Notamacropus eugenii: one gene and its partner. The protein of the gene in region 2 binds, or shares a complex with, the protein of the main gene of each other region. Links are inferred from orthologs where the notes say so. Each region holds a gene or a part of one and is shown on either strand. Other genes may lie near its edges.

Evidence for each region.
Region 1: the proteins of LATS1 (region 2) and NF2 are in contact, whole or in part, in a crystal structure (PDB 7LWH), measured with the Homo sapiens proteins. The link is inferred for Notamacropus eugenii from reciprocal best matches to the Homo sapiens genes LATS1 and NF2. Residues at the interface, in NP_004681.1 of Homo sapiens: Pro69, Lys70, Phe71, Gly72, His74, Ala77, Leu78, Glu80, Ile81, Arg82, Ser84, Leu85, Phe88, Ala89, Asn90; in NP_000259.1 of Homo sapiens: Pro135, Glu136, Ala137, Val139, Leu140, Tyr144, Asn175, Leu176, Tyr177, Gln178, Met179, Met183, Trp184, Arg187, Trp191, Glu206, Ile210, Asp213, Leu214, Glu215.

The regions. Positions count from the first base shown.
Region 1 is NC_092875.1:16,048,643-16,064,994, reverse strand, and holds the start of NF2 (merlin), read left to right. Parts: upstream 1-10,323; 5' UTR 10,324-10,424; coding exon 10,425-10,538; intron 10,539-16,352. UniProt on the Homo sapiens protein: Probable regulator of the Hippo/SWH (Sav/Wts/Hpo) signaling pathway, a signaling pathway that plays a pivotal role in tumor suppression by restricting proliferation and promoting apoptosis.
Region 2 is NC_092873.1:241,729,002-241,745,322, forward strand, and holds the start of LATS1 (serine/threonine-protein kinase LATS1), read right to left. Parts: upstream 6,834-16,321; 5' UTR 6,700-6,833; coding exon 6,349-6,699; intron 1-6,348. UniProt on the Homo sapiens protein: Negative regulator of YAP1 in the Hippo signaling pathway that plays a pivotal role in organ size control and tumor suppression by restricting proliferation and promoting apoptosis.

The DNA of each region.
Region 1 (16,352 bases), on a different chromosome or scaffold from region 2:
CTAGATCAACTACCTCCCAGACTTGGAACATGGAACTGAGGGGTTTAGCCTGGAGAAGAGGTAACTCAGGGAAGGTGAGGGGTGGTGCAGTGATAACTAGCTTCAGGTATCTTATTTTAAGTCCTAGACGGTAGAACCAGAAACCCATTACAAAACTTTGGGCTGTCACAGGAGGTGGTAGGCTTGCCTTCCCTGGAGTTCCCGAGCAGAGAACTTGTGAGGAAGGCTGTAGAAAAGATTCCTGCGTGGATCTGGCTTGGACAAATGCCCCACCCTGAGATTCTTCATAGTAATAGCTACAAAATATGAGATAACTCATCCAGAGAGGAAACATGGTACAGTGGGGGTTGGGGTGGGCCTTATAGTCAGGAGGACCTGGATTCAGATCCTCCTCCTGACCCCACATTGTCTGAATGACCCTGGCCAAGTCACTGGGCCTTTTACTACCACCAGGCAACTCACTAAGTTTGTAAATCTCAAAGAAGATATTCATCTCTATTGATGGAGAAGGAAATACTCCCCATACCGGTGATGTCATAGACCTAGTAATTTACAAAACAGACAATATCACTCTCACACTTGGATGTTTGCAAAGCAGTTTACACATATTCCCTTGTCTGGGTCTCACAAGTTCACCCTGTTCACAGATGCCAGAGTTAACTATAAATCTAATCCCATAATAGGGTTAAATATAGAGGGAGAGCTGTCCAGATGACTGGAGACTCTTTGGTCCAATCCTCACAGTCCGAGTATGAATAGTCTGAGATCTTCAATGCCTTGTCCAAGGTCACATGACAATGAAGTGGCAGATCAGGATCCAGACTCAAATCTATGTTGTCTTTTAAAAATTACCAATGACATAGCGGATAGAGTGCAAGCCCTGGAGTCCCAGGAACCTGAACTTAAGTCTGACCTCAGGCACTTACCAGCTGTGTGATCCTGGGCAAGTCACTTAACCCCATGGTCTTCAACAAAAATCACCAAAGAACTGCAGAGACTCCCTGTTGTCAGCTTTTTGGCATGGCATTCAAGGCCCTCCACCATCTAATTACCTTTTCAGCCTTACCTTGTACTACTTTCCTTTATATATTTATCCTTTAGCGGCAGCTAGGTGGTACGGTAGATAGAGTGCTGGGTCCAGAGTCAGGATAGACCTGAATTCAAATCTTACCTCAGGTACTTCCAACTGTGTGACCCTTTAGTGCATGTTCTCCAACATCTCTCTCAGCTCTGCCTCTGTCAATAATCCTATCATGTGATTATATTTAAACATTAGCAAAGTTATCCTGGGCAAGTTACTTGATTTGTCTGCCTCGGTTTCCTCAACTGTAAAACGGAGATAATAACACTTTGCAAGGTTGTTGTGAGGATCAAAAGATATAATATTTATAAAGTGCTTAGCACAATAACTGGCCCATATTGTTGTTCAGTCATGTCCAACTTTTCACGACCCTGTGGATCATTGTCCATGGGGTTTTCTTGGCAAAGACATTAGAGTGGTTTGTCATTTCATTCTCCAGTCAGCTGAAGCAAATAGAGGTTAAAGTGACTTGCCCAGGGTCACATAACTAATAAGTGTCTTGTGTCTTCCTTTGAATCAGATCTTCGTGACCCCAGGTCCAGTGCTCTAGCCACTGAGCCATCCAGCTGCTCATGGTAGGCACTACATAAATGCTTATTCTCTCCCACTCCTTCAATCAAATGGGATTTTTCCTTCCTCTGATATTCATTCTGCCCTTTGCTGTCTCAGGTATATTTGCTGATGGAATACCCCATCTCTGTCGAAATCATTCCCATCCTTTGAGGCCCAGGTCAAATGCGATCTTCTCCCTGAAACTTTCTCTGGTTCCTTCCTCCTCCAACTCATCTTTCTCGCACTGGTACTTTTCACAGTAAACCTCTGGTTTGAGAGCCTTAAAGGAGGCTGGAGAGATGAACCTTCTCTCCTGCCTATTCCCCACCATTTCATAGCAAATGCTCTCTAAGATGTTAGTCATGACAAATCTGCAAGCATACCAGAAAAAGAAGTCAATCCAGGCACAGAACTTATAACTTCTTGACAATTTTTTGAGGTCTTGCTTATATGTGCACATGTTGCTTTCCCCAGCAGAACATAGTCTTTAAAGTGCCTAGAACAGTATCTAGCCAACAGGAGGTACTTAATAAATGCTTTGTTTGATTGGGTAGATGAAGAGGGAGCACTAAGAACACAGATATATTTCCTAGACCACATTTCTGCCTTTCATCCATCTGAAGACTTGTTCCCATCTTTGACCACACCAGCACTAGAGGCCACAGATTCTGCTGGTGAGATGCTAACAGAAGGAGGTGAGCATGCAGATTTCCAAACCCTTACACAGACAAAAAGCCTCATCTTTCATGTACTCTGGTGAGCATTCACCATATCTCCTCCAATACACCACTGCCCTTCAACATACTTCTCAACGTCCCTAAGGCAATGATTAGCCAAACAGGAGTGAAGGCACAGCTTATCTTTGTTCCAGGCCATTCGCCTGGGTCTGCGAGAACCTTTATCAAACATTCTCTGAACACAGGGGCCATAAAACCATTCTCATCCTGGGCAGATATTTGCTACGGGGCCCTCTAGGAATGTAAAGCAGTGATAGGAGTACAATGGGCCTGTTTAAGCACGTGAAAGAGAAGGTAAAAAATATGCTAGCATAGTTTCTCTACATGACACGTCATTCTCTGTCGCTCACGTACACCAAATAACGAATATGAGTACAGTCAATCAATCACTAAGCATTTATTAAGCACCTAGTGTTTGCCAGGTACTAGGGATATGAGTACAAATTTAAACAGCCATTTCCTTCAAGGAACTTACATTCCATAAGGGGAGTCAGCAGAATAATAAAAACTACCATTATACACATAATAATACTATAAGCTAGTGCTTTAAGGTTTGCAAAGAGCTTTACAAATATTAGCTCAATTTACTGTCACAATAGCCCTGGGAAGTAGGCATCATTATTCCTTGTTTTACATATGAGGAAACTGAGGTTAGTTTTTAAAAAATTAAAAATGTGAGCTAGGAGGTCACCATTATCTACCTAGTTATTAACTAACTAAACTAGTTACCTAGTAAGTAACTAGTAATTACCGTTACTTGAAATGTGAGCTAGTAGGTGTCTGAGGATGTATGAACTCAGGTCTTCTGACACTAGGTCCATCAGGCTCGTGCGCGTGCGCGCACACACACACACACACACACACACACACACACACACACACACACACACCCAATGTAATAAATACAAGGCAATGGAGCTAGCAGCTTGGGGAGAATCAGGAAAGGCTTCATAGAGGAGGTATATTTGAAGAGGAAAGTAGGAATTTGGGCATTACTGGCTCTGAGTGGGAGGGGGGGACTCAGGCATAGAGATGGGATGTCATGTATGAGGAAGAACAGGTCTAGCTGGTTGAAGTTCAGAATTGGAGTGATCCCTAGGAAGGCCAATTCATGACTGCCTGGAGTCAGGATCTACAAGAATTTAAATACCAACCAGAGGAGCTTATATTCTATCCTAGAGGTGACATCCTTTGAGCAGTCTTTGCCTCATCTGGGTGCTCCAAGCACACAGCAGACATTCACGCCATTGGCAAGAGCTAGATTCCATCTGATGAAGCACAAAAGGCCAGAATCTCCTGGTTACCAAGGAAAAGAACAGAGAATTCCATGGTTTTTGTTTGAAGTCTGTTACTTCATTTGAGAAGGGGAAGGGGAAGCAGCTCCCTCTTCCAATGTAGATGAGGAACTATTTTGGTCTTTAGGATCTTAGCTGGATAGACCACTCAGAGGTTCAGGGACTTGTCCAGGGTCACACAGCCAGAAGGTTTCAGAGTGGGACTTGAACCCAGGTCTTCCTAACTCCAAGACCAGTCCTTTATTATTCTAAGCTGTCTCTTCTTTTTCTTTATGTGAATCTTCTGAGAGCAGGAAGTATTCATATTCACTCATTTGCTTTATCAAAGCGAATATGGTGCTTGATGGTGGCAAAATCTGAAATGAACACACGGTCTTTACAGCAATCAAGGGATGAGTCAACGCCATCTCAGGCCAGGTGGCCAAAAACGCTCCTAGGTGTTCTGTCTAAGAGACAGTGTGGTTTGTAGTCAAGTCAACTGGCATTTATCAAGCACCTACTTTGTGCCAGGTCCTTGTGCTGAGTCTTTAGGGATACAAAGGGAAGAGACATTCCTGTCCCAGAGGACTTTCCAGTCTGACTGTAGGAAGTTTGAAGGACACTGGTCTTAGAATACAAAGACCAGGTGGGGTTCCAACAATTGTCTTGTTTGGAAGAGCCCATGTGGCTTTCTCTAGTAAAACACTAACTCTTTGAAGAAAGGGACTATTTTGTATTGTCTTTGTGCCTATGGTGCCTAGAACATGTCTAACAAAAAGTAGGTACTGAATATGTGCTTTGATGGACTGAGTGAAAATTGTTATTCTGCCTTTCATTGCTCCAGATTTTTCAACTGAAAAATCAGGGTACTGATATTTGCCCTGTGTGGTATGGTGGAAAGAACATGGATTTGGAATTAGGAAGCCTGATGAAGGAAACTGGAAAAACCAGTTTTTCATTTCTGATCTTTGTCTATCCCACAAGTCCTCCGTGGCCTAGCCATTCTCCCTCCTCCTGGCTGGAGGTCTACTCTCCTGCCTTGACCCTTTTCTGGAACACACTTTCTACTTCCTCCCTCCTCCACATTTGGATTTTCTATGCTTAGAGGCTTCCAACCTATAAACATTTGGTTTCCTGGATGTTGGGGGGGAGAGATTAACCTCACCTGCCTGATCCCTGATTGGGATCCCTGCTCATCCCTCTAAAACCCCTGCCCTGATTCCTGAGCTACTCTAAAGCACAAAGTGAAACTGGACCCAGGAGTCCCAGGGACAGAGAGGTAGGTATGCCCATAGACCAAATCATGGCCACAGTTTCTTGAGAGGACATTTTGGATATGATGTGTAACGATTATACTATCTGGATATCTTAGAGCTCCCATTTCCCCAGCAGATTTTGGCTTGGAAGTCAAGAGATTCACAATGCAGCTTAAAATGATCCATCAACTCTGACAATTCCTACATTCCTGCGCCTGTGTACCTTCAGTGAAGCAAATCAGAGATTGTAAAACCTGTTCCCGTCACAGAATACTGGTTCTGTGCCCTACCAAGAAATCACGACCCCCAAGATTTGAGGCCATCAGCTTAAGAACTGTTCTCACAGAACTCAAGAACACCTGCATTGCCTGCACTTGTGGATTTGCCTTAGGAAATCGCTCAAGACCTAGAAATGACTATGTTGGGATCCACCTTCCCCCAACCCTTCCCATTTGTGATCTATGTAAATAAGCTCTGACTTTATTCTAGCATGATAAGCTTTTGTTCTTAGAACTTCAGGTTTGCAAACTGAGTTCCTCCCTCTGAAATTAATTTAACTGCTACTTGATTGCTGGCACACTCACCTCTGACCTGCTCTGTTTTGTCTCTGGACATTCCTAGGTTAGAGACCAGTACAATAAAATTCTGTTAGTGTAAAGACTATCTGGCCATTCCTGGCTGTAAACCTTCTCTACCCTGACCAGTCTTATTTTGAGGAGTCGATCTTGACCCATGGATGGGGAACTGTTAGTATGCTAGTATGATGACTTGGTTGAATTTGCCTTATCTTTTGGGTACCTTTGGGATGATCCAATTAAGCCAAACGGCCCTCCCTTAAACATAACAAATAAAAGGCTTGTTGCTTTCAGCATTTACTTTTTCATTATTTCTTTTTATTAATTAAAAGTTGACAAAATTTTGTTTTTTCTCCCTAACTCCCTCCTCTGAAAAAAAAATGACAAATAACAAATAGGAAGTCAAGCAAAAGAAATCCCCACCTTGTCCATGTCCAAGAATGTATGTCCTATTCTGCATCTTGATCCCTCTGTCTTGCTCAGTCTTGATCCCACCTCTCTGGGAGGAAGAGGGTATTTTCATCCTTGGTCATGTGGAGTTGTGGCTTATCATTGCAATGATCAAAGTCCTTAAGTTTTTCAAAGTGGTTTGTCTTTACAATGTTGCTGTCATGGTATATAAATTGTTCTCCTGGTTCTGCTGATTTCACTATGCATCGGTTCATACAAGTCTTCCCAAGATTCTCTGAAACTATTCCTTTCCAATTGACTGGTTTCTTCAAAGTTCATTTCATCCCAGTAATAGACTCCAGCACCTGAGTTCAAATCCTGACTCTTCTATTTACTCCTTGGGTGACTCTGAGTGAGTTACTTCCCTTCTGTGTTTCATGATCCATAAAATGAGCACATTGGACCAGATGGCTTCTGAGACCCCCTTCTACCTATAGATTGATGACCCATGAAGTCCCTTCTCCCTTCTGAGCCTCAGTTTCCTCATCTATAAAATGAGAGTTTTGAACTATATAGTGAGCTCTCTCCCATGATCTTGTGTATGACCTTCAGTAAATCAACCTTTCCTTTGATCTCAGACCTTCCATCTTCTTACTCCTAACCAAGGCTAATCCCTCTACATGTCCAAGTGACCTTAACCCCATCCCATCTTCTCCATAAGATTTTCCCCTCTGAAATGGATGGAAGAAACCAAAGCTATCTATAGTCACAGAAGTTCTCTAAATCACTTTTGATTAGGGAAATGCAAATTAAAACAACTCTGAAGTACCATCTCACACCTATTAGATTACCTAATATAACAAAAAAAGAAAATGATAAATGTTGGAGAGGATGTGAGAAAATTGGGACACTAATGTATGTAGTGTTGGTGGAGTTGTGAATGGATCCAACCATTCTGGAGAAGAATTTGGAACTACGCCCAAAGGGCAACCAAACTGTGCATATCCTTTGATCCAGCAATACCCCTACTAAATCTGCATCCCAAAGAAGTCATAAAAAAGGGAAAAGGACCTACATGTATAAAAATATTTATAGCACCCCTTTTCATGGTGGCAAATTATTGGAAACTGAGGGGATACCTATCAATTGGGAAATGGCTAAACAAGTTGTGGTATATGAATGTAATGGAATACTAAGAACCAATGTATATTTCAGAAAAACCTGGAAAGACTTGTGCAAACTGATGTGAAGTGAAATGAGCAGAACCACGAAAACATTATACATAGTAACAGCAACATTTTGTGATGATCAACTATGAAAGACTCAGCTCTTCTCTGAAACACAATGATTCAAGACAATTACAAAGAATTCTTGATGGAAAGATAAAGATCTGATAGACTTTGAATTTAGATCAAAGCACGCTTTTTTCATTTTATTTTTTTTCATGGTTTTCCCTTTTGGTCTATTTCCTCTTTCACAACTCTGACTAATATGGAAATATGTTTTACATCTTTGCACATATATAACATATCAAATTACTTACCATTTTAAGAAGAGGGGAGGGAAGGGAAGGAGAAAAATTTGGAACTCAAAATCTTGTAAAAATGAATGCTAAAAATTGTCTACACATAATTGGGAAAAAATAAAATATTATAAAAAAAAGATTTCCTCCTCTGTCACTCCCAATCTTTCACTTTGTTTCAATCTCTTTCTGTCTGTTGGTTCTTTCCCTACTGCCTTATAAGCATGTTCATGTCGCCCTCATCCTCCAAAAAAAACCCTACTTAATCCTTCCATCCTCACTATCATCCTATGTCTCTTCTGTGTTTTGTGGCTAAAAAGGCCTTCTTCTAACAGGGGCTTCCACTTTTTTTCCTCTCATTCTCTTCTTAAAGCCTTCCAATCCAGCTTCCAAAACGTCTCTCTCCAAAATTACTAGAGCCCTTTATTGCCAAGTCAAATGGCCTTTTCTCAATTCTCATTGTCCTTAACCTTTCTGCAGTCTCAGGCCAGGAGAGCAGGACACACTGACTTCCAAAACATAAATGGAAAGAACAAAAGAGCAGAGATTGAACCTCATGGAGTCGCAGTAACCAAGCTTGTCCCCAAAGAAGACGAGCCAGGTCAGGGGTGGGGAACCTGTCAAAGAGCCCCACTTGAGGACCTAGAGGCCCATCTGTGACCCACCCAAGCCAGACAGTCAGCAAGCATTTATGAAGCGCTATTTATAATGCTTAAAGCAATGCAGTCCCTGCCCTGCCCTGACACTCAACATGCAGATAACTAGGGCAATGAGGTGGCTTTGCAGATACCACATTGGCCTTGAAGTTAGGAAGCCTTGAGCTGAAATCTTACCACAGACACCTGCTTGTTGCGTGATCCTGGGCAAGTCACTTCACCTCTCTCTCTTTTAGTTTTCTCAACAGTATAAAGGGGATAGAAACGCAGCTATGAGGAAATGAGATAATGTATGTAAAGTGCATTGTATTTAAGTGCTTTGTTTCAGGCACTACATAAATGTTAGCTGTTATTATTACTTACATATAAGATGTGTGTGTGTGGGGGTGTGTGTGTGGGTATATGTATGCAGCAAGGTGGTGCGCTGGGTAGAGCAAGAGGCCTGGAGTCAGGAAGACCTGAGTTCAAATCTGACCTCATACACTTACAAGCTGTGTGGCCCTGGGCAAGTCACTTCACTGTTTGCCTCATCTGTAAAATGAGCTGGAGAAAGAAATGGCAAAAGCCACTGCAACTTCTTGAGCAGGGTAGTTACACGGTCAGGTCTATATTTAGGGCTATTAATACTTGTAGAATATGGAGCCACTAGAAGGAGACCAGTTAGGAAGCTGGAGGTAAAAACTACAATCTCAGACAAGTAATCTCATTCTTGTATGGGGATCTCCGTACTTAGGATGCATTCCCCAGGAAATGACAACTCACATTTTGTAGCATGGGGTCAACAAAGGGCTGTCTCCTCACAATAACTCTGTGAAGTACGGGATGCAATGACTGGTCCCCCCATTTCACAGATGAGGAAACTGAGGTTCAAAGAGGGTAAAAGATCTGAGCAGTCACACAGCCAAGAGCTAAACTCCAATTTAATTCACCAGAAATGTATTAAGCTTGTCCCACCTGGGCTAGGTGCTGTGCTTTGTTCCTGCTGAGTCATTTCAGTTGTGTCTGACTCTTCATGACCCCATGTGGGGTTTTCTTGGCAAAGACTCCAGCTCCTCTTGCAGATGAGGAAACTGAGGCAAACGGGGTTAAGTGACTTGCTCTGGGTCACACAGCTAGTCACACATTTGAATAGGAAGTCTTCCTAATTCCAGGATCCGCAGTGTGTGCCCTGTGGTGCCACCCGGGTGCAGACGCAAAGACACAACGAGTGGTCCAGCCCCTCCCCTCAAGGAGCTTGCCTTTTACTGGGGGACCCCACACGTGTACTCACAAGCACGACACGGAAGCACTTCCGTGGGGCGGGGAAGGCTTCTCAGAGCGGGGTGCTGGCTGTGCTGACCCGTTAGTGCTCAACCTGGAGTCATAAGGATCTGAATTCCAATCCTGCCTCGGACAGGTAAACCCCTTAACCCTTTCCATCCTCGGTTTTCTGGTCTATAAAGTGGGGGTGACAAGAGGGATATGACAGCAGATGGGGAACATCATCTCCTCCTCTCCTTCCTCACCAATAAGTTTGCCCACTGTCACCACTGCCAGGAAAACCTGAAGAAGGCTAGTGGTAGTAGCAGCGGTAATGGAGGTGAGGCTGGCACAGGGAACCACCCGCGCACGAAGCACCTGCAGAACAGGCTGGCTCCGCTATGCCACGCCCCTCCGCGACATTTCAGTGACGTCACCGCCACGCCCCCACCCTCTCCCCGCCTCTCCTAGCGGGCCCCTAGTCGAAGCTGGCTTTCTCCAGCGCTCCAGCAGGAGGAGGAGGAACCCGGCAACAAAGGCGGCCCGAGCGACAGCCGCATCGACCACTCAGCGCCGAGTCCGGCCTTACGCGCCGGCGAGACCCAGCTTGCCACTGGCCAGCCTTCTTCAAGGGGGCGTGGCCGAAGGCTAGGCCCCGCCTCCACCGGGTGGGGGGCGGGAGAGGGGAGGTCGGACCAATCGGAGCGGGGCTGGGTGGGCCGCCAGTGCCTCAGGCTACGGGCCGAGGGCGCGCGCCGAGCGGACTGGGCCCGGACCCGAGCGCCCCCGGGAGCGCGCGCGCTCCCCTCACTCACTCGCGTGCCCGTTCGGCCGCGGCTCCTCCGAGGCGGGACGGGAGCGCCGGGAGCGGAACGTGGCGAAGCCTCTGGGCCTCACGAAGTCCTGAGCGCCAGCCTCCGGCCGCCGCCCACCGCGGAGGGGGCCCGCCCCCGCCCTCGGGCCCCGCGGGGTGGGCGGCCGGCCTGGGCCCGGGGTCCGGGGTCAGGGGCCCCGAGGCCCGAGGCCACGCGGCTCCGCGCAGGCGCCATGAGGCCCCCCGGCTCCGCGCAGGCGCCCTGGCGGCCCTGAGGCCTGGGCGGCCTGTGGGCTGAGCCGGGCCGGGCCGGGGCCGGGGCCTTGCCATGGCCGGGGCCATCGCGTCGCGCATGAGCTTCAGCTCCCTCAAGAGGAAGCAGCCCAAGACGTTCACCGTGCGCATCGTCACCATGGACGCGGAGATGGAGTTCAACTGCGAGGTAACTCGCCCGTCCGCCAGCACTGCTTGAGCGCCTCGTGTGTACCCCGCCCGAGTGAAGGAGCCCCGCCCGCCAGGGGGCGGGACGCGGGGGCGCCGGCCACGTGTCCCCGGAGCCGGAGCCCTCCGCGCGGCAGGGGGCCGGCGGGCCGGACCCTCCAGGCGGACCTGAGGCGGGGCGGGCAGCCTGCCGCGCGCCGGGCCGGGGGGCCTCAGTGTCCTCCGCCCCAGGTGACCACCCGATCACCACCGCACCCCGGCCTTGTCGTCCTCGGGCAGGCCGGCCTCCTGCCTCTGCCCCTCCGATCCCTCGTGCGTTCCGTGCCCGGTGTGCCAGCTCAGGGGGTGAAGTTTAGCAAGTACCCCTGAGTGTGGGTGCCCACATAGTACCGATGCACGCCCAGCATCAGTATGTATGATCATACCCGGATTTGTAATGTGAACATGTATGTGTAAGTGTGTAAGTATCTGTGCATGTTTACGTAAGCATGTTGGCACTGGTCAGTCCTTTCAGCAATGCGCCCTCCACGACCCCACTGGGGGTTTCCTGGCAGAGATACTGGAAAGGTTGGCCATTTCCTTCTCCAGCCCATTTTACAGGTGAGGAAACTGAGGCAAGCAGGGTGAAGCGACTTGCCCAGGGTCACCCAGTGAGGGGGTGTTGGAGGCCAGATTTGAGCTCACATACATGAGTCTTCCACATTCAATCCTGGTGCTCTATCCACCGTGCCACCTGGCTGTCCATACAGAAGGATATGAGCACATAGATGTATACATGCAAATATATGTGTGTACGGATGTGTACGGATGCATGCGTGTGTATAGACATACGTACGTACATACACACTGTGAATGTGTCTGGTGGATGTGTGTGTGGGGGGCAGCACTGTGGGATGCAGAAAGCACTTGACTTGGGGCTCGGACGTCTCCTGCCCTGGATCGCTAAAGTCGCTTGGCCTCTGGGAGCTAACATTCATTCCATGAGGGATGCACAGACGTGTGTTTGCATTTGGAGTATTTGTAAATACTGTGTAAAGTGTTTGAAGGGTTGACTAGAACCTCAGTGACACCCAGACTGCCCCATACGTGACAAGCGACCACCCTGGAGCCTGCAGCTCCCTCTGCTTGAAGACCCTCTAGGGTGGGGACCCTGTTGCTCCTCTAGGGGAAGGAGAGCTGGGCTGTAGTAAAGACAGCCCTGGACTGGGGGTCCGAGGACCAGACTCTGCTGCTGGTTACTTGCGTGACCTGGGGCAAGGCGTTTCTGGGCCTTAGTTTCCTCTTCTGTAAAGAGAGAGAGGCAGGTGAGGGGGCAGCATTGGTAGGTCCTGTTCAGGGCCCTACTGGTTGCCCAGAGTGCATGGAGTGAGGCATCCAGAAAGGCCAGGGGGCTGAGGGGAAGGGGGGAGGGGGAGAGCTGACCCAGTCAGGGTGACTTGGGTAGGAGAGAATGTAACAGTGACACCCTTGGGGAGCTTTTAGGTCAGTGAGGTGTTTGGCACACTCCCTTCTGGGCCAATCAAGTCATCCTCACTTTGTGCTGTTTGACTAGGTGACTGCAGGGTCAAGCATGGGTGGAGTCCACGTGTTTGGGCCACGTTGCCCCCTGACACCTCCAGCTAGAGGCTGCCTAGTCCAGCCCCCTCACTTCACAATAAAGGAAGTCACAGAGCTAGTAAGTGTCAGAACCGGGACTGGAACTGGCTTTGGATTCCCAAATTCAGGGCTCTTTTTACCGTGCCATACTGCTCTGTGGAGCTAGAAGAGGCCTTAGTGGTGATCTGGTCCAAGCCCTTCTTTTTGCACATGAGGAAACTGAGGCAGACAGAATTAAGTGACTTGCCTTGAGTCAAACAGCTAGTAAGTGTGTGAGGCTGGCTTTGAACCGGCCTCTAGAGCCAGCACTGTATCCATTGTGGCCCCTAGCTGCCACCTGGTGATGATAGTAGTACCTACCTCACAGGGTTGTTAAATAAGATATTTGTAAACAGTTCTTAGCACAATGCTTGGCACACAGTGCTGTATAAATGTTAGCAATTATTATAGTGAGCAGTATATGGTAATTTTTTTTGTAGGGTGTGAAAGAGGATTGTTTGGCTCTAGCTTGGAAATAGGGAATCAGCTTGAATGGAGTGGGTCTAATGGCCCAGACCAAGTAGTCTTTGCAAAGGCCAAGGCCACTTTAGGAGAGTACAAGTCTTGTGTATCATCTTCCAGTGTCTCATATCATGTGAAGGTGGTTTTTCCACAGGCGAACTTTGAATTTGGAAGCTCATGTTAATGGGCTTAGTCATTATATGACCTGGGAGAAGCTGGCAGTCCAGTCAGCCCACAGCATGAGTATGTGCTGCATGCCAGGCACTGGGCCAAGCAGGGGAGATGCAAAGAAAGGCAAAAGACAGGCCCTGCCCTCAAAGGAGAGACAACAGGCAGACAACTGGGGGCAAACAAGCTGTAGAACAGGCTAAATTGGAGATAAACCCCCGAGGGCAGACAGCAGCAATGAAGGAAAGGCTTCTGGGGAGGAGGAGCTGAGACTTGAAGGATGCCCGGGAGGCCAGGAGGCACAGATGAGGAGGGAGAGCATTCCAGGGAGGTGAGGCAGCCAGTGAAATGTTTGGATTTGGGAGCTGGAGCATTGTGGGAGAGGAATGCCAAGGAGGCTGGGGGCCCTGCATAGCTGAGTACTTGTTGGAGGGCTCTAGTAAGGGACCAGGTTGTGGGTGGCATCTGTGCTTTAGGAAGATCACTCCGGTGTCTGAATGGAGGATAGATCAGATTGGGGAGAGATAGACTGGCAGCAGGCAGGCCCCCCCCCCTCCCCCCCCAGCAGCTGTATCCAGGCGGGAACTCTTCTTTGTAGTTTTACGTATAACATTCATATCTTGGAGGGGATGCCGTACAGATAGAGAATGGTGTCATGTACCTCATTTGTCAGAAATTGTATAACTGAGGTACTTTGGGGAAAAAAATTAAGCTCCTTGAAGGCAACGTCTGGGTCTCTGTCTCTCCAGCTGTTGCCCAACGCTGCCTTTCCATATGGCAGTCATTTATTGTATGTTCGTCAAGTGATCATAATCATGAAAACTCAACATTAAAAATCTGGTGAGAGATTTTAGCCTAGAGTTGGACTGAGATAAAGGGAAGAGGAGTTATTTCCATGAAACGTTTGTTTTCCTTGTACTAAAACCCTGCTCATAGTGCGGAACGTTCTCCCTTCTCCACCCAGCTCACTGACCTCCCTTAAAGTCCCAACTAAAATCTCTTCTTCTACAGAGAGCCTTCCCCAAGCCCTCCGAATTCCAGGGCCTTCCTTGTTAATCATATTTTATTTGTCCTCTGTAGCTCGCTTGGCATGTGTTTGTTTGCATGTTGTCTCCCCCATGAGACCATCTGCTCCACTGTCTTTTGTCTTTTTTTTGTATCCTCATGCTTTTCGAAAGTGCCTGGAATGAAGCAAGTACTTAATAAATGTTGATTGATTGATTGGATAACCATGGGCTCTCAGGCTATTCCAGGGAAGTGCAGGCTTTGTTAGGCACCAGCCCCCGTGATGGATTGGCTGTCTGTCTGTCTGTTTCCTGAGACCCAACCAAGCTAAGAAAGGCCCATCAGATTTGGCCACAGAGCGCTAAGGTTTTTGGCCCTGTGGACGCTGGAAGACCATTGGCTTAGAGTGGTGGCAGGGTGACAGAATTCCTTCAGTGAAACCACCCTCACTCCTTGAAGTGTTTGAACTTTGTCCTTGTGCTCTCCCTCAAGTACAGTTGACACCTGAAGGTGGGAAGAAAATATCCTGGAAGGGCCATTCCCACTGACTGGCACATCTCAGAGTGATCCCAGATTTGGGGACCCAGCGACGATGGCGAGGGGCACAGAGTGGTCATGCGTGAAGAGACTTGACTGTTCCCCTCGGATATTAAATGATCGTCTTGTGCAAGTCTTCAGAAGGCAGAGTGAGAGCTCCTGAGAGGCCCTTGAAGGAAGCCCATTGTGGCTCAGTTCCAGTTCAGGAACCCTTAGAAAGGCAGGAGTGGCTGTTTACAGATAGTGAGGCATCATCGGCTTGTAGGAATTGTTAGGGAGGACCTTCCTGACCCGTGTCTAAGTTGGACTGAGTGACCTCCAAGGACTCTTGCAATTTTTTTATTCTAAGAGCAGAATGTTCTTTAAATAATTTGTTTTAGAGTAGCAGATTTCATTGAGCCCAAAATTCTCAACCTGGAGTCAGTAGGTGGATTTCTAGGGGTCCATGAACTTGGCCAGGAGAATTACACTTTTATTTTAATAAACGGATTTCCTTTGTAATCCTCTGTATTGTATTTGATGCGTTTGAAAATAGGACTCTGGGAAGGGTCTGCCAAAGAGGTCCGAAACTCTAAAAAAGATTAAGAACTCATGAATTAGACAGAGACTAGGCTTCTGTGGTTTGACAAGTTGTTTCATCCTGAGATTGCTAGTGGAAATATGTCTGCAAAGTGCTGTTGGATGTCAGTTTGAAAGCTGTTGAGTGATGCCTGATAACAGAGCGTGCTCTGAACTTGGTCAACTTTTTGCTTGTTCTACATGACCAGAGCAGGGGATAATTCTCTGGCCGATGGCCTTGAACGAGAAGGATTCTCGGCCAGGTGAGGTTAGGCGGAGGTGGCTTTCTAAGAAGGATCACATTTCAGTATGAGTAGTGTGTGATTCAGAGGACTCGAACTAGTTCATACTTTCATGAAGAGAATTAGGGCCCAGCCTTCCACTTCCCTGGCCTCCTGTTTGTCCTTGAGTCACTTTGCACATTTAGCTTGCTGCTTTGGAGAAATACATGGGAAGAGTTATTATTTTGGTATTAGTCATTTGGAGAAATAAGGTGCTGCTCATCATTTTGCCAGTAATTGGAAATAGCCCTTCTTCAGAATTTTTCTCCAATGATTAATCAAGAAAGGGCCAACGTTTGAGAATTCTCCAAATTGAGTTTGAAGAGCTTCCCAGACTGTAGACCTGCTTTGGCATGTTGGCTGGGCTTTCTGTTCCAAAGGAGATGCAATCAAACTTCAGGCTGTGGATTACCCCTACACGTAAGACATGTTGTAAAGGGGCAGAATCATCCAGGACTCCAGAACACCTAGCGTTAATAAGTAACAAGTTAAAGGAGCGTCATGAGGTTTAAGTGCCTGGTTCAAGGGGGCATAGCTATTAAGTGGCAAAGCCAAGATTTGAACTTCAACCTTCCAAATCTCATGTTCTTTCTGGTACAAAAATCTGGCGTTTTCTTTTTCCTTTTTTTAAAAATTAAGTAATTTATTTGTTTTCAGTTTTTTACAGTCACTTCCATATATCTTAGATTTATTCTCCCTCCCTCCCCCCTCCCTCTCGAAACAGCATGCAATCCTATGTAGGTTCCACACATGCATTCTTATTAAATACAAAAAATCGGGTGTTTTCAACAAGGAGTTTAATTGCAAAATTCAAATAACATTCTTGTAGAACTCTCATGATTTTCTTTGGAATTGCTTTATTCTGAGTCCCAGCCCCATGGATATACCTCACCCCAGGTGGCCTGGATACCTTTGGCTGCCCTTTAGGCGTTGGCTGAGAAGGAAAAAAGGAAATAGAGCTGGGGAAGGAAGATGGTGCACGTCAGCAGCCATTGGTACCTTCCTGCCTATTGCCCTTACCCCTTATAAAGCTGTCATTCACCTCCAGTTTATTAAGCCCTTACCATGTGCCTGTCACTGTGCTAACCCTGGAGGGTACAGAGAAAGGCAAAAACAGCCTCTGCTCTTGAAGTGGTGGAGACATGGACAACAATAACCTTGCACCTGAG
Region 2 (16,321 bases):
TATGAAGATGATGCACTGATAAGCAATTTAGGGGCAGCTGAGAAAATACATACTGGGTGGCCAAAACTGAGGAGTTCAGTCATGGAATTTTCATATTTAAATTGAGAGGCATGAGTCTAGGACACTGGATTAAATTCTGAAAGATATTTGAAGACCATCAAGGTTAAGTGCCTTTTCAGATCTCTGTTTTACATATCGGGAAAATGAAGATCAGAGAAATTAATGTCTTATTTCTAATTCCTGTCAGAGAGAATGAAGAATCCTTGTTCTAACTCAGAGAGATAGTCTAATCCTCTCCTCACTTCCCAATGACGCTATGCCACAACCTTCCAGACCCCCTGCCCTATTAGTAGATACTGCAGCTCACACCAACTACTATCTTTCTGAAAGTGTGGACGGGAGAACAAACATTTATATAGCACCTAATGTGTACTAGGCACTCCACTAAGCACTCTATAAATATTATCTCATTTGAAGACTTCGAGGGTCTCAATGTATACCCTGCCACTATACCCTCAAGAAATGTGGATGCTGCTATATGACTTGCTGAGGACCCCTGGGTCTTGCCATGTACTTCACTACTGAACTTTTAGAAATTCTGAGCCTTGCCATTTGCCTGGCAGTTGCAACTTAATTTAGGTGTAGCTAAAAAGATCAAATGAGATGATACTGGTAGAGCACTTAGCATAGAGTTGTTTCCTTCCTTCCTTTTTTCCTTCCTTCCCTTTCCTCTTTTCTACTGCTTCTTACTGTGTTATGAAGAGGACAATGCCTTTTCATTTTGTTTATTTATTCATTTAATTATTCATTCATTAGGTGACTTGCCCAAGTAAATGGCAGAGCTGGGTCTTAAATTTAAGACTGATTCCAAATCCAGTGCTCTTTCTACTTTACCAGAAGGCAGATACTGACTGTGACTAATAGAGGTATGTTTGCTTTACCTACAATCTAAAGGACCTTTGCAGCAGTGAAAATAAAATTTTCATTTTTTGTTTTCCTGAACTAGACAAACACCAAAAGACATGAGTATTTTCACATATAAGAGAAAGAAGATTTCATAAGAAAATGTAAGTTACTTAAGACTATTTTTAAAAAATTATGTAACAAATTCAATATGTTGGTTTCAAAGCTGTGCTACTGAACTTTCTTTTGTTCTTTTCTGGGCATTTAAAAAAAGTTTCAATGACTTTTTTCTTTCCTGGAGGGCATCACTATCATTAGCTAATGTACCTTCCAAATTAAAAGAAAACAAAACCCTTCCTCAGCAAAACAAATTCATATATTACTCATGTCTGAAAATGTGTCTCATTCTGTATATCGAGTAGTCTATGATTTGTCAGGAACTTAACAGCACACTTCACCATTACGTGTTCTGGAGTTGATCCCTGAATTGATAAGAGGTCCTAAATTTTTCAAGGCTGCATTTCTTTACAATGATATAGTCATTATATAAATTGTTCTCCTGGTTCTGTCACTTCACTTTGCATCAGTTCATATCAGGCTTCCTAGTGTTTTCTGAATCCATCTTTTTCACAGCACAACAATTTTCCATTACTTTCAAACACCATAATCTATTTGGTCCTTCTCCAGTAGATATGTATCCCCTCATCTTCCAGTTTTTGTTAAAATAACAAGTTCTGCTATAAAAGACTTTGTAAATATAGGTCCATTTCTGTTTTCTGTGATCTATCAAAATCAAATATCATTCAGTTTAGTACTTTTTTGGAAACAGTTTCAAATTGCTTTCCAGAATGGCTTAGAACATAGCACCAATAGTGCATTAGTATATCTGTCCTCCAACAAACCTTTCAAAGAAATGTAATTTTTCTTTTTCATCCTCTGTCAATTTAATGAGTATGAGATAGAAACTCAGAATTATTTTAAGTCATATTTCTTTTATCATAGTGATTTGGAGCATGTTTTAATATGCTGATAGCTTATATTCCTTCTTTTGAGAACTTCCTATGTATTGGGGAATGGCTTCTGCTTTTATATATTTGCATAAGTTCCCAAAATAACTTGAATATTAGTTCTTTCTCAGCTAAAATTTTTTTCCCCAATTACCCATTCCCTTTCTAATTTTAGCTGCATTAATTTTGTTTATACATAAGCTTTCCAGTCATTAAAAGCTGTTCATTTGCTTTCCTTGTCTCTTGTTTGGTCAACAACTCTTCCCTAATATATAAATATGAAAATATCTCGTTCCCTGCCTGTCTATTCTATTAATATTTAGATGTTAATAGAAATATTTAGGTACTGTATTCATTTGGAGTTTATTGTGAAATATGGTATGTTGATCTAAACCTAATTTTCTGCAGACCAGATTCCAGTTCGCCCAGCAGTTTTTGTTGAAATATTGAGTCTTTACTTCACTGAAGATTTAATTTACTCAGGTTTGGGGGCAGGGAGAAGTAAAAAACAATGCTACCATATTCATTTGTTTCTTGGCTCTTATATTGTATGTCTATCTGGTCCATTTTCCCATTTTTAACCAGTACCAAAAGTTTTCATTATTAGTGCTTTGTAGAATAGTTGGAGATCTGGTACTGCTAGGTACCCTTCCTTGCCACTCTTTTTTCATTTTTTCCCTCTGAATTTCTTGACTTTTTATTTCTCCAAGAGAATTTTATTTTTTCTAGTTTTAAAAAGCAACGCTTTGGTAATTTGATTTTATATGGTATCAAATAAATGAATTCATTTAGGTAGTAGTCATTTTTATTGTATTGGAATGGCCCAATCATAACCAATTAATATTTTAATAGAATTTCTCTATCTTTTACAGTTGGGTTTCCCTTTTTGTTGTTCATATACAGAAACGATGATATCTGGGGTTTTTTTCCTGAATCTTTTGGGTTCTCTAAGTAGACCATTAACATTTGTAAAAAGTGACAACTGTTTCTTCTCTACCTATATTTGCTTCCTCAGTTTATTTTCTTTTTTGTGTTGTTATAGTTTGCATTTCTAGCACCATATCAAATAAAAGTGGTGATAAAAGTGGGTTATCTTTGCTTTACCCAGATTGTGCTGGTAAGACCTCTAGCTTTCTTCAATTACACAATAATCTTCATTGGCTCTTTATTTTATAGCCAGTCTACTATTTACCATATTATGGAAAGGCCTGCTTATTCCTTTGACTTAGAGTGGGGTTTTTTTGCTTGTTTTTTACAAAAGGGAGTTTTTTGTTAAAAGCCTTTTCCGCATCTATTGATATAACCATGTGGTTTTTTTCTTATTAATACAGCTTATTATATTTATAGCTTTCCTACTAATGAACCAACCCTGCATTCCTAGTAGAAATCCAATATGATCATTTTTAAAATTTGTTTTTAATTTTAATAAAATCTTTTCAATTTGTTTCTGTGAACCATATGTTAACATTATCCTCAATAGTTTTTTTGAAATTCATTAGGAATGAACAGTTTATTCTGTAGTTTTTTTTCTCTGCTTTTTCTCTCAAGGTTAGAAATCAAGGCCTTATTTTTAAATACAGAAAGAATTTGATAGCATTTCTTCTTTTCCTATTTGGGCAAACAATTTACATTATATTGAATGCACTGTTCTTTGAACATTTGGTAGAATTCACTTGTAAATCCATCTGGTCATGTTTTCCCCCCTTTTGGAGTTCATTCATGGTATGTTCAATTCTTGCATAAGATTGGATCATTTAAACTATCTATTTCTTGTTCTGTTAATTTGACTATTTTTTTTTTGCTAATATCCACCCATTTCATTTATGCTATGAGTTTTGTTGGCATATAAGCAAAATAGTTTTTAATATTTTTATTTCTCCTTCATTTGTTATGGAGCTTCCATTTTCATTTTTTATTAATGTGGATTTCCTCTCTTAAAAAAAATCATACCAGCTAATGTTTTGCCTTTTAAAAAAATCTCCCCCCACAAAAAATCCCTAGATTTTAATAAACTCTGAATTTATTGATTCCAATTTTGTTAATTTCTTACTTGATTTTCAGAAATTCTAATTTTTGTGTTAAGTTGAAGTTTCTTGATTTGTTGCTTTTCTATTTTTAAAAAAATGTATGCCTACTTTACTGATCTGTTCTTTCTCTCTTTGGTTGATGAAAATGTTCAGAGATATTAATTTTCCCCTAGGGATTGCTTTGGCAACATCCCAAAAGTTTTGGCATGTTGTCTCATTATAGTCACTTTCTTTGATGAAAAAGTATCTATTAGTTCTATTATTTGTCCTCTGATTCATCAATTTTTAAGAATTAAATTATTTAACATCATTTACGTTTGGCTCTTTTCTTCAAAGACCTTTGTGTTATGGTCCATAACGCATGCATTTCATATTTACAATTTTCCATACTGCTTTGAGATTTTTATATGTGAGCCAGGAGTTGATAAACTACGTACAGAGCGCCAAATCTGCATCCTCCTCCAATTTCCCCTGCTTAAAATGACTTTTACATACTTAAATAACTTTATTTTAAAATACAAAACCAGTCTTAGCCCAGGGTGGTATGAAAACAACTAGCAGGTTGGCTTTGGCTTGCATGCTGTAGTTTGCTGAGCTGTTGCCTAGTATGTGGAAAATTTTGCTACACACACACACACACACACACACACACACACACAATGAATATGCTGATATGTGTATCAAATATACATATAGCTGAGATATGCATATAATCTTTTTCATTCCTACTCAGTAATTTTTGCCAGAGATCTATGATATCTAATTTTTCTTAAATTCTATTCATTTCTTAACTTCTTTCTGGCTTATCTTTTTTGGTCAGATCAGCAGAGTTTGGAAATGGGTAGCACAGTGTAGACCTCAACCATTTAGTTTTGTTATCTATTTCCCCATGTACTTTAGTCAAATTTTTTTTTAAAGACTGATCAGATATGTGATTTTATACATACATTCTCTTTCCCAGCAATACTCACAAAGGAGAACCTGAGATCAATAGAGTCTTTTTATTGCTTTTTTCTTTAGTCCATCATTCTGGAATTAAAAATGCACTGTTCTGGAGATGCCTATTACATCAATTACCTAATTCATAAAATTCATTCAAAGAAAATATACATCTAAGTTTTTGTTTTAATCTTCAATACTTCAAAAACTATTAAGTATGAAATGTTTACAAAACAGCAATAACAACTGAACAAATAGCAAGTAGAATAAACTACTTTTCCTCTGTAGTTTCATTATAGACTTTACAAGCTTTCTATTATTGCTGTTTTCCTATCTTTTTTCCTCTTCTCAATTAATCAATACTTAATGATTTTGTTTTTAAAAGGAAAAATCACTTCTTGACTATTTAATTACAGATTATCTAGACAGATAGTGACTATCTATGGTCAAACTCAATATAACCTCTGTATTTTACCCCCAAAGTTTCCAATTATAAAGTGTGTTATTAGGAAAGAGAAGAAAATTTAACAGCCTAAACAAAAGATAAATAGGTCTATCAAGGAAAAGACACAAAAGAGATTCTCAGTACTAACAATAATGTATTATATAACATCTGAATTAGCTATACTATTTTTATAGATAAGACTGAAAGCTGTCCATCAATGAAAACCTACAGTCCTCTAGAAGTGAACATATCATCATCCTTCCCACTGCCATTCCCCTATAGAGACAGCTATTTCTACTTCTATATTGGTTACCTAGCTCATCATCCTACAGATTCACTCTCCTCTCTAAAATACTATACTGAGTATTTCTGACTCCAGACTCTGTCCTTTGGATTCCCAGGCCACTCCAGGAAAGGGAGAATAAGTTGTGATTTTTGTGGTTTTTTTATTGTACTTAGACACTAAGGTGGTAGGCTCATGTAAATGAATAAATGGTATTAGGACTACCAGAAATTTTTGTAGGTGACATAAAAAAATGTGTGTATACACATACAACACATCTCAACCAATTTTCGTGCTTCAGATTCAAATCACTTCTTTATTACTTGGTGGTAGAGCCTGTGTTTAGAAAACAAAGCAATCTAAAAATCAGTATTTAGCATGACCTATACTTAATTTTGTAAAAGCTGGTCTCAAATCCAGCTTTGAATCCTGCCCCTAATATCATGGCTATTTAACCCTGGTCAGGCACTTAACTTCTCTAAGCTTTAGACCAGGACTCAGTAAACCACTGGCATAGGAATTGGGCCAGATTTGGAATGTGGAATGTATTTTGTCATCTTCCACTCTAGGCAACTCTAAGACTGTAAGTTGCAGAGAAGATACCAACCTTATTGATATAAGGTCTTTCCTATCTGGGATTTTTCCATATTAATGAAATCACAGGTCCAGTGCCTATCCTTATCCTATAGTAAATCTTGGGTCTAAATAAATGAAATATTCTATAGTGTCATTAAAAGTTCTTACCTCATCAAATCCAGCAATTTGCATATCTTGTAGCATTTGTCGATTAACTTCTGATGCACTCCTGGTGGATGAATTGGCTTCATTTGCAAATGGGAGTAGAGAGTTTCGTATTTCTTGCAAAGCTTTATGATATGTCACAAATTTGGGTGGATTTCGGCCTTGTCGAGGATCTTCAGTTGTCATTTTGCTCATATTATGCTCAGCTTTTGCAGCATCTGATGGTTTAGGTAAATTCCTAAGAGACTCCCGTATTTCTTGCAACATTTGCCTGCTACTGCCAGTGTAGTTACTGGCAGGAAAGGTCTTAGGCCTCATTTGTCTATACCCTTCCGGCTTTTCACCTCTCTTCATGAAAACATCTATCTGTATAACCTTCACAAAGGATTCACTCACACAAATACTTGTCAAAGCTACTTGGTAGTTTCAGAATTCTCTCAAGCAAAAGATGAAAATAGTACTTCACAAAACATTGAGGTCTGCTGGATTCTTTACTGCTGAAATGATTCAACTCTGAAAATGACAGAAAATTACAGCTATAATTGCTTATAGTGAAAAGAACGCTGAATCTAGTCAGTAATCTCCATTCACCTAATGAATTATTATGTGGCTAGAAAAATCGCAAGCTCTCCATACTTCATTTTCTTTATTTTAAATGCTCAGAAATGTTGCAAGGATCAATGCGTAAAAGAACTTTGAAAAATATAAGATATTATACAAATACCAGGGATTATCAATAAATTTGCAGTGTAATAATACAGCCAACAAATGATTATTAAGTGTACTGTGCTAAGCAGTGGAAACAAATACGGGGGCAAAAATATTCCCTGCCCTCAAGAAGCTCACATTCTAATGGAACAGACAACAGGTAAATAATCAGGTAACACAAGATATATACAGGGTAGATAATCAACTAACCAATCTATAAACATTTGTTAAGCATCTACAATGTGTCAGGTACCGTGGTAAGTGCTAGGGATAAAAAAAGAGGCAAAAGACAGTCCCCCGCTCTCAAAAGAACGTACAATTTAAGGGAGAGAGAATATAAAAACAAAAAAAATATTTATAAAGCAAGCTGTATACAGGATAAATAGGAAATGATTAACAGAGGGAAGGCATTGAATTAAGAAGGGGTGGGGAAGGCTTCCTGTAGAAGGTGAGATTTTACTTGGGACTTAAAGGAAGCCAAGGAGGTCAACAGCCAGAGTGGTGAAAGAGGAAGAGCATTCCTGGCATGGAGGACAGCCAGAGAAAAAGCCAGGATTCCAGAGATGGAGTGTCTTATTTGTGGAATAAACAGAAGGCTGGTATCACTGGATAGAAGAATATGTGTTAGAGAGTAAGGTATAAGAAAACTGAAAAGGTAGAAGGGGGTTAGCTTATTAAGAATTCTGAATGCTAAACAGAGCATCTGGTACTTAATCCTGGAAGTAACAGCAAGCCACTGGAGTTTACTGAGTAGGAGGGGGAGGGGATAAAGTGACTTTAAGTTTAAGAAAATTACCTTAGTGCCTGAAGGGAAGATGGACAGACTTGTAACAGGGAGACCAGGTGTGAGATGAAGAGGGCCTATACTGGAACAGAGGCAGGATAAGAAGAAAGAAGGGGGCAAATTCAAGAGACACTGAAAAGGTGAAATCAACAGGCTTTGCCAATAGCTTTGATAATGGTGATTGAGAGATAATGAGAAATCCAGATGACTCCTAAATTGAGAGCCTAAGGGACTGGAAGGATAGTGTTGCCCTTTATAGTAATAGGGTAGGTAGGAAGAGGGCAGGGTTTAGAGGGGAAGATAATGAGTTTGATGTTGGACATGATGAGATGAAGTTGTCTACTGAACATCTAGTTTGAGATGTCTGAAAGGCAGCTGGAGATGTAAGGCTGAACCAAGTCAGCAGAGAGACTGAGGCAGGAAAGAGGTCTGAGAATTATCAGCACAGAAATGGTCATTAAATCCATGGGAGCTACTCAGATCACCAAGTGAAAGAGGGTGAAGAGAAGAGGAATCAGGGCAGCCTGCTGTGGGACACTTTTGGGGAGAGGGTGTGATCTGGAGTAGGATCCAGCAAATGAGATAGAGAGTGATCAGGCAAGGAGGAGGAAAACCAGGAGAGAGTAGAGTTTTGACAACCTACAGAAAAGAGTCTTCATGAAGAGAGAATGATCATGTCAAAGGCTGCAGAGAGGTCAAGGAGAATAAGCATTGAAAAATGGCCAAAGAACTTAGTAAGTAAGAGATCATTAGTAACTTTGGAGAGAGTAGTTTTGGCGGAATAAAAAAATCAGAAGCCAGATTGTAAGATGTTAAGAAAAGAGTGAGGGGGGAAAGAGGAGCACTTACTATAAATGGTCTTTTCTTTGAGCTGAGCTACAAACGGATGTAATATACAGAATACAGTGATGGAAGGGCCAAGGGAGGGTTTTTTCAGGATGAGGGAGACATGAGCATGTTTGTAAGCAGAAGAAAATGAGCCAATAGAGAGGGAGAGAGGGAAAATAAGCCAAAGAATGGGGATGACAGAGGTGGCAATCTGTTGGAGGAAATGGGATGTAATGGGATTGCTTGAACAAATAGAGGGGTTAGCCTTGAAGGAGTAAGGTCTTATCATAGGTGAAAGATAGGTGAAAGAAAAGTGGCATGACACCTAAATAATAATAGATGAGGAAGTGGAGAGAAGAGTTCATAGTGAATGACATTTTTTAAATTTTTTTTTAATTTTTAGTAAAATATGGGCAAGGTTCTCAGCTGAGAGAGTAGGGATTAGAGGGTATGCGAGCCAATTTGAAAAACCTACTGTGAATAGTGGGGCAGTGAGTTGATAAAGGAGGTACAGCAGGACTGCCTACTGTAGGCCTGTAAGCAGAGAGGGCCCAGGTGAAGTTCAGAGAAGAAAGCACTTGGCAACTGGAGAATGGAGTATGAAGGGACATCACTAGAAAAGGCAGAAAGTGGGATGTGAACTGAGTCTTGAAGGAGGCCAAGGAAATTAAAAAGTGGGGTAAGGTGGAATGGTATTCCGGGGGGGTGGGGGTGGGGCTAGATATCACAGTGTATTTTTAATGTATTTATGCATAATGGGAAGATCTTTCCCATCCATAAACAGGCTCATCTGACCTGCTTGAGTCACATGGAAGCCTGAGTCACATGAGTCTGTGGTAGGAGGAGCTTGCCAAAAGGGTGGAATAGAGCTGAAAGGAAGGCAGACACAGCAGTTAAGAGCTGAGGGAGAAAGAGGAAGTAGGCAGCGTGCAATGAGTGTTTGTTTGTGGGAAAGCCCTAACAGGGAAGGCTTGGGGATGGTGGTGTCCTCTGCATTGTTAGTGAGCATGGATTCCTTTACTGCTATGATGGATTTGGCTTTCTGGTGTTTAAATAATTGTTTTGGTTTTGTCTTTCTATGTAGAGAATGTGTTATATTTTGTGATTCTGAATTTTACTGGCATATTCATAGCCACTGTAGGCACTGTGACTATCACAACATTGCTATACACAGTAGATAAGGGTGTTAAGCCTGGAGTCAGGAAGTCCTGAGTTCAAATCTATCCTCAGACACTTAGTACTTATGAGACCTTGGGTAAGTCATTTAATCTTATTTGCCTCAGTGTCCTCACCTGTTCAATGAGGATAATAATAACTCCTATCTCCCAGGGTTCTTCTGAAGATCAAAAGGGATGATAAATGTAAAGTACTTAGTATAGCGCCTGATACACTAAGTCATTTCAGTCATGTCTAACTCTTTGTGACCCAATTTGAGGTTTTCTTGGCAAAGATACTGGAGAAGTTTGCCATTTTCTTCTCCAGCTCATTTGACAGATGAGGAAACTGAGGCACACAGGATGAAGGGACTTGCCCAGGGTCACACAACTAGTAAGTGTCTGAGGCTGGATTTACATTTGGGTCTTCCTGACTCCAGGTCCTGCGTTTTATTAACTGTGTCACCAAGCTGCCCTGGAACACAGTAAGCACTGTACAAATGTTACCTCTTATTAGCCGTTATTATTCTAAGAATGAGAGACAGCCAGTGCAAAGGCACAGAAATAAAGAGATGGGAGGGTCATATGCAAAGAAAAGAAAATTAGTCAGTAGAATGGATTGTAGAGTATGTGAAGGTAAAAAAGAGTGTAAGAAGACCAGATAGGAAGGGTCCAGGTTTTGAAGAGCTTTAAATGCCAAAGTACAGAACTTTATATTTCATTCTGGAGGTGAGGAGGAGACTCCAGAGTTTACTGAAGAGGGAGAGTAACAAAGTACCATTTGTTATCTTTATGTTCAATATAGACACTTAGCAACATCACACACAGTCAATTCTCATCATCTATAAATTCACAGCAAAAACAAAATTAGGGAATGCTGAACCATTTCTCCAAAGGAAACTACAGTATTCGGTTCCTGTGAACCTCTGGTCACATTTATTTTGACACTTTTGGAAGTGGCCTCACCTACAGATGGACAAAATTCCTCTTCCTTTTTCTGGATGAACCATCTTGTTGATTCATTGACACTGAAGTCACAGTCAACAGCACCGTAACTCATGCCTGAATGAACTTTATCTAAAACATGTATTTTCTCCAAAGGCATATGAAAGCTTTCTTGTGCTTAGGAACATTAGAGAACACCGCAGCAGTATGGTTGGGGGCCATTTTAAACAGCAAAATCACTACCAAAAAAAAAAAAAAAGGCTAAAAATGTGGCACTAAATAGATTGTGTAAGTTTATAGCATGAGAGCTGAAATTAGAAAGCAGAGCAGCTCCGTGTTGGACCTCAAGTAGGCTCATGCACATTGTGCTACTTAAATTTTTTGCTGCTCTGCACATGTATCGATTTCATGATTACAAATATGTTTTAGTGAATAGGAACATAAAAAATGGATCTTTCTTTAATATAATAAGTAGTACCTATCTAAAACTAAAAGTGTTAAACTAGAGGCCTTTCCAATAAAATCATGGGTGATGCAAGGCAGTGGTAGTAAGGCCAACTCTAGCAATAAGACAAGAAAAGACAATTAAAGGAATAAGCACGAAGAGCAAAGAAAATAATTGCTTTTCACAGATGACATAATAGTTTATCATCAGCATTTCTATGTATCACTTACAAAACCCAGCAAGAAAAGATATAGAAGTCCCATTTAAAACAACAACACTATGTAAAAGACTTGGGAATGAACCTGCCAAGAAACACAGAGAAAGTATATGAACTATTTTCTAAAAACCCCAACTTTATAAAAATACAGAATCAAAAAAATTGAATAAATACTAGTTTCTCATGAGTAGATCAACCCATATAACATCAATGATAATATTAGTTAATTTTTTTTAGTGTTATGCCAATTAAACTTCCAAAGCATTACTTGATAGAGCTAGGAAAAATAGTAACAAAATTCATTTGGAAAAACAAAAGGTTAAAAATCTCAATGGAGGGGGGCGGAGCCAAGATGGCGGAGTAGAAAGAGGCACATACACATAGCTCCGAACCCACAACCTACAGAACGGCTAGAGGGGAGTAACTCACGGTGAATTCTGCCCCCAGAGGCCACGGAATATTGGAGCGAGGGAGATTTCTGTTCCGGAGAGACCTGCAAACCTCTCGCGGGGGGTCCTTCGCGCTGTGGACTGGGCGCCGGGACTGGGAGCAGAGAGCAGCCCTGCAGCGGCCGCGACACCATGAGGAAAAGATCCAAACGGGCTACGGGGACAAAATATCCTGTGGCCACGCGGGTCCCTCCACCCGCAGGTGACGGGGGTCGGTGAGAGAGTCTCTTTGGCAGGTCGAGAGGGGAGTGGGGTGCCCCCATGATTCGGCCCCCCCCCCCCCAGGTAGAAGCTGAGAGGTGGCTGCAGACAGGGGCTCCCCAAGCGGGCGGGAGCCTGGATCCTCTGTGGAAGGTCTGTGCATAAACCCCCTGAGGGAACTGAGCCTGAGAGGCAGCCCTGCCCCGACCTGACCACCTGAACTTAATTCTCACACTGAAGAGCAGCCCTGCCCCCACCAAAAGCCCTAAGGCGGGAAGCAGCATTTGAATCTCAGTCCCCAAACGCTGGCTGGGAGGACCAGGAGGCGAGGTGGGTGTGAGGAGAATATTCAGAGGTCAAGTCACTGGCTGGGGAGAATGCCCAGAAAAGGGAAAAGAAATAAGACTATAGAAGGTTACTTTCTTGGAGAACAGGCATTTCCTCCCTTCCTTTCTAATGAGGAAGAACAATGCTTACCATCAGGCAAAGACACAGAAATCAAGGATTCTGTGTCCCAGCCCACCCAATGGGCTCAGGCCATGGAAGAGCTCAAAAAGAATTTTGAAAATCAAGTTAGAGAGGTAGCGGAAAAGCTGGGAAGAGAAATGAGAGGGATGAAAGAGTAGCATGAAAAGCAGATCAGCTCCCTACTAAAGGAGAACCAAAAAAATGTTGAAGAAATTAACACCTTGAAAACTAGCCTAACTCAATTGGCAAAAGAGGTTCAAAAAGCCAATGAGGAGAAGAATGCTTTCAAAAGCAGAATTAGCCAAATGGAAAAGGAGATTCAAAAGCTCACTGAAGAAAATATTTCTTTCAAAACTAGAATGGCACAGATGGACGCTAAAGACTTTATGAGAAAGACATATCACAGAACATAGCGAGAAGATTGGAAAAATGGAAGATAATGTGAAATCTTATTGGAAAAACAACTGACCTGGAAAATAGATTCAGGAGAGACAATGTAAAAATTCTGGGACTACCTGAAAACCATGATCAAAAGAAGAGCCTAGACATCATCTTCCATGAAATTATCAAGGAAAACTGCCCTGAGATTCTAGAACCAGAGGGCAAAATAAATATTCAAGGAATCCACAAAACACCGCATGAAAGAGATCCAAAAAGAGAAACTCCTAGGAACATTGTGGCCAAATTCCAGAATTCCCAGGTGAAAGAGAAAATATTGCAAGCAGCTAGAAAAAAACAATTCAAGTATTGTGGAAATACAATCAGGACAACACAAGATCTAGCACCCTCTACATTAAGGGATCGAAGGGAATGGAATAGGATATTCCAGAAGTCAAAGGAACTAGGACTAAAACCAAGAATCACCTACCCAGCAAAACTGAGTATAATACTTCAGGGGAAAAAATGGTCTTTCAATGAAATGGAGGATTTTCAGGTTTTCTTGATGAAAAGACCAGAGCTGAAAAGAAAATTTGACTTTCAAACACAAGAATGAAGAGAAGCATGAAAAGGTGAACAGCAAAGAGAAGTCATAAGGGACTTACTAAAGTTGAACTGTTTACATTCCTACATGGAAAGACAATATTTGTAACTCTTGAAACATTTCAGTATCTGGGTACTGGGTGGGAGTACACACACACACATGCACACACGCACACATACATAGAGACAGAGTGCACAGAGTGAATTGAAGAGGATGGGATCATATCTCAAAAAAAAAAAATGAAATCAAGCAGTGAGAGAGAAATATTGGGAGGAGAAAGGGAGAAATTGAATGGGGCAAATTATCTCTCATAAAAGAAGCAAGCAAAAGACTTATTAGTGGAGGGATAAAGAGGGGAGGCGAGAGAAAATCATGAGGTCTACTCTCATCACATTCCACTAAAGGAAAGAACAAAATGCACACTCATTTTTATAGGAAAACCTATCTCACAATACAGGAGAGTGGGGGACAAGGGCACAAGCAGGGTGGGGGGGAGGATAGAGGGGAAGGCATGGGGAGGAGAATGCAATCCGAGGTCGACACTCATGGGGAGGCAAAGGATCATAAGAGAATAGAAGTAATGGGGGACAGGATAGGATGGAGGGAAATATAGTTAGTCCTATACAACACAACTAGTATGGAAATCATTTGCAAAACTACACAGATTTGGCCTATACTGAATTGCTTGTCCTCCAAAGGGAAGGGGTGGAGAGGGAGGGAGCTAAAGAAGTTGGAACTCAAAGTGTTAGGATCAACTGTAATGTTCTCACCACTAGGAAATAAGAAATACAGGTTAAGGGGTAAAGAAAGCTATCTGGCCCTACAGGACAAAAGAGAAGACGGAGACAAGGGCAGAGAGGGAGGATAGAAGAGAGAGCAGATTAGTCACAGGGGCAATTAGAATGCTTGGGTTTGGGGGGGGGAGGGGATAAAAGGGGAGAAAATTTGTAACCCAAAACTTTGTGAAAATAAATGTTAAAAGTTAGATTAAAAAAAAAAATCTCAATGGAATGAAAAAAAAAGTGAGAAGAGAGGGATACTAACTATACCATATTTCAAACTATATTACCAACCAATAATCATCAAAATAATTTGGTAATGGGTAAGAAATAGGTTCTTCAGATTAGGCACACATTTTTTGTTCAGTCATTTTCAGTCACATCTGACCCCATTTGGACTTTTCTTGGCAAACTATGCTCAAGAAGTTCCTAAATTGTGTACACCCTTTGACCCAAGCAACACCACTACTAGGTTTAAATGTCAAAGAGATAAAAGAAAGAGAAAAGTGACCTATGTACAAAAATACAGCAGCACTTTTTTGTGGTAATAAAAACAGAAATTAAGGAAGCACCCATTAACTGGGGAATGGCTTAACAAATTATGGTATATGAGTGTAAAGAAATTCTATTATGTTCTAAGAATGATAAAGAAATCTAGGAACATTTGTATTAACTGATCCAAAATGAAGCAAAAAGAGAACGATTTACAGAATAACAACTTTGAAATATAGAGAACCAACTCCGAAAGACTTTAAAACTATGACAATGATTCCATAATGAAACATGCTACCCACCTCCTGTTAGAGAAGTGATGGACTCAAAGCAGACCTCTTTTCATCCCCTCCCTCCCTTCCTTCCCCCAGAGTGTGGGGGGATGGTGGTGGTGTAGAGGAAACCATGGTCTCTGAGGCCACTTTATGGAAGAGGATGCACCAAGGTCTCCCATTCCCCATTATAAGGTAATCCAACCTATGGCCCCTCACAGGGCTCTTCATAGTGACCTAGATCCCATAGTGTGAGTGTGGGTCCTTGTGTCCCAGCTACAGTGGCTTTCCTTGGGACAATATTTAGATACCTACCTCCAACTTCAAGTTTTTCTCAAGGTAAAGTTCTATATTTATTATATATCTAAGGTGGGAGCTGTGGATGAAAGAGGGCTAGTCCACACCCAAACATTCTACCCCCTCACTTCCACCTTCCCCAGGTGTGGAAATCAGGGTAAAGGCTGAGCAACAGGCCAAGGCTGAGGTCACCACTATTTATTGTAGTATTTATGTATTCTTTAGCAATTTAACATGAGTAAAACTTAACTGATTTTATTAAGTTCCTATCTTTTTAAAATGTCACTAAGTTTTTGAGTATTGTGCCCCAAATACATTTTCTCCATACACCCTGTGGTTTTCACATAGCACAGTGATTTCTAGGAATGTCTATGCCATATCTGACTTTACTTGGACAGTCAGTGACTTTAGAAGGAACAGTGCAAAATATTTTGGAAAATATGAATCCAGAACTAAGACTGTGAGAGTTCACAAACTTGTACACTACCCAGAAGCCTTATGCCCATATACTGTGAATACTATATTTTAGAAATCAATTGTAAGATACTGGGTATAGTAAATACCTAAAAACATCAAAGAAAAAAATTTAACTGATTGAGCAGCAGAGAACAAAAGAAAAAGCAGCAATTACAGAGTCAGAGGATCTGGGTTCAAATCCGTTTCCCACTGGCTATACTCCAAGGCTTCATCAAGGTCTCAACAAACTCATCATCCTGAAAGATGACATCAACCCTGAGCCTCCTACCTCATCAGTACCTCCAGCCCCTTTGGGGTCCTCCTCTTTCTGACTGAAGAGGGTAGAGGATGGCTAGTGGAGAATCCTTCCAGATCCTTTTATAAGAAGAGTGCCCAAGGCAGGCATTTCATTTCCCCTTTAGCTGCAATTCTCTAGATTTCATCACGCCCCCAAGCTGGGTATGTTCTGCCCTCTCCTTTTCTGCTTTTTTTGTTTGTT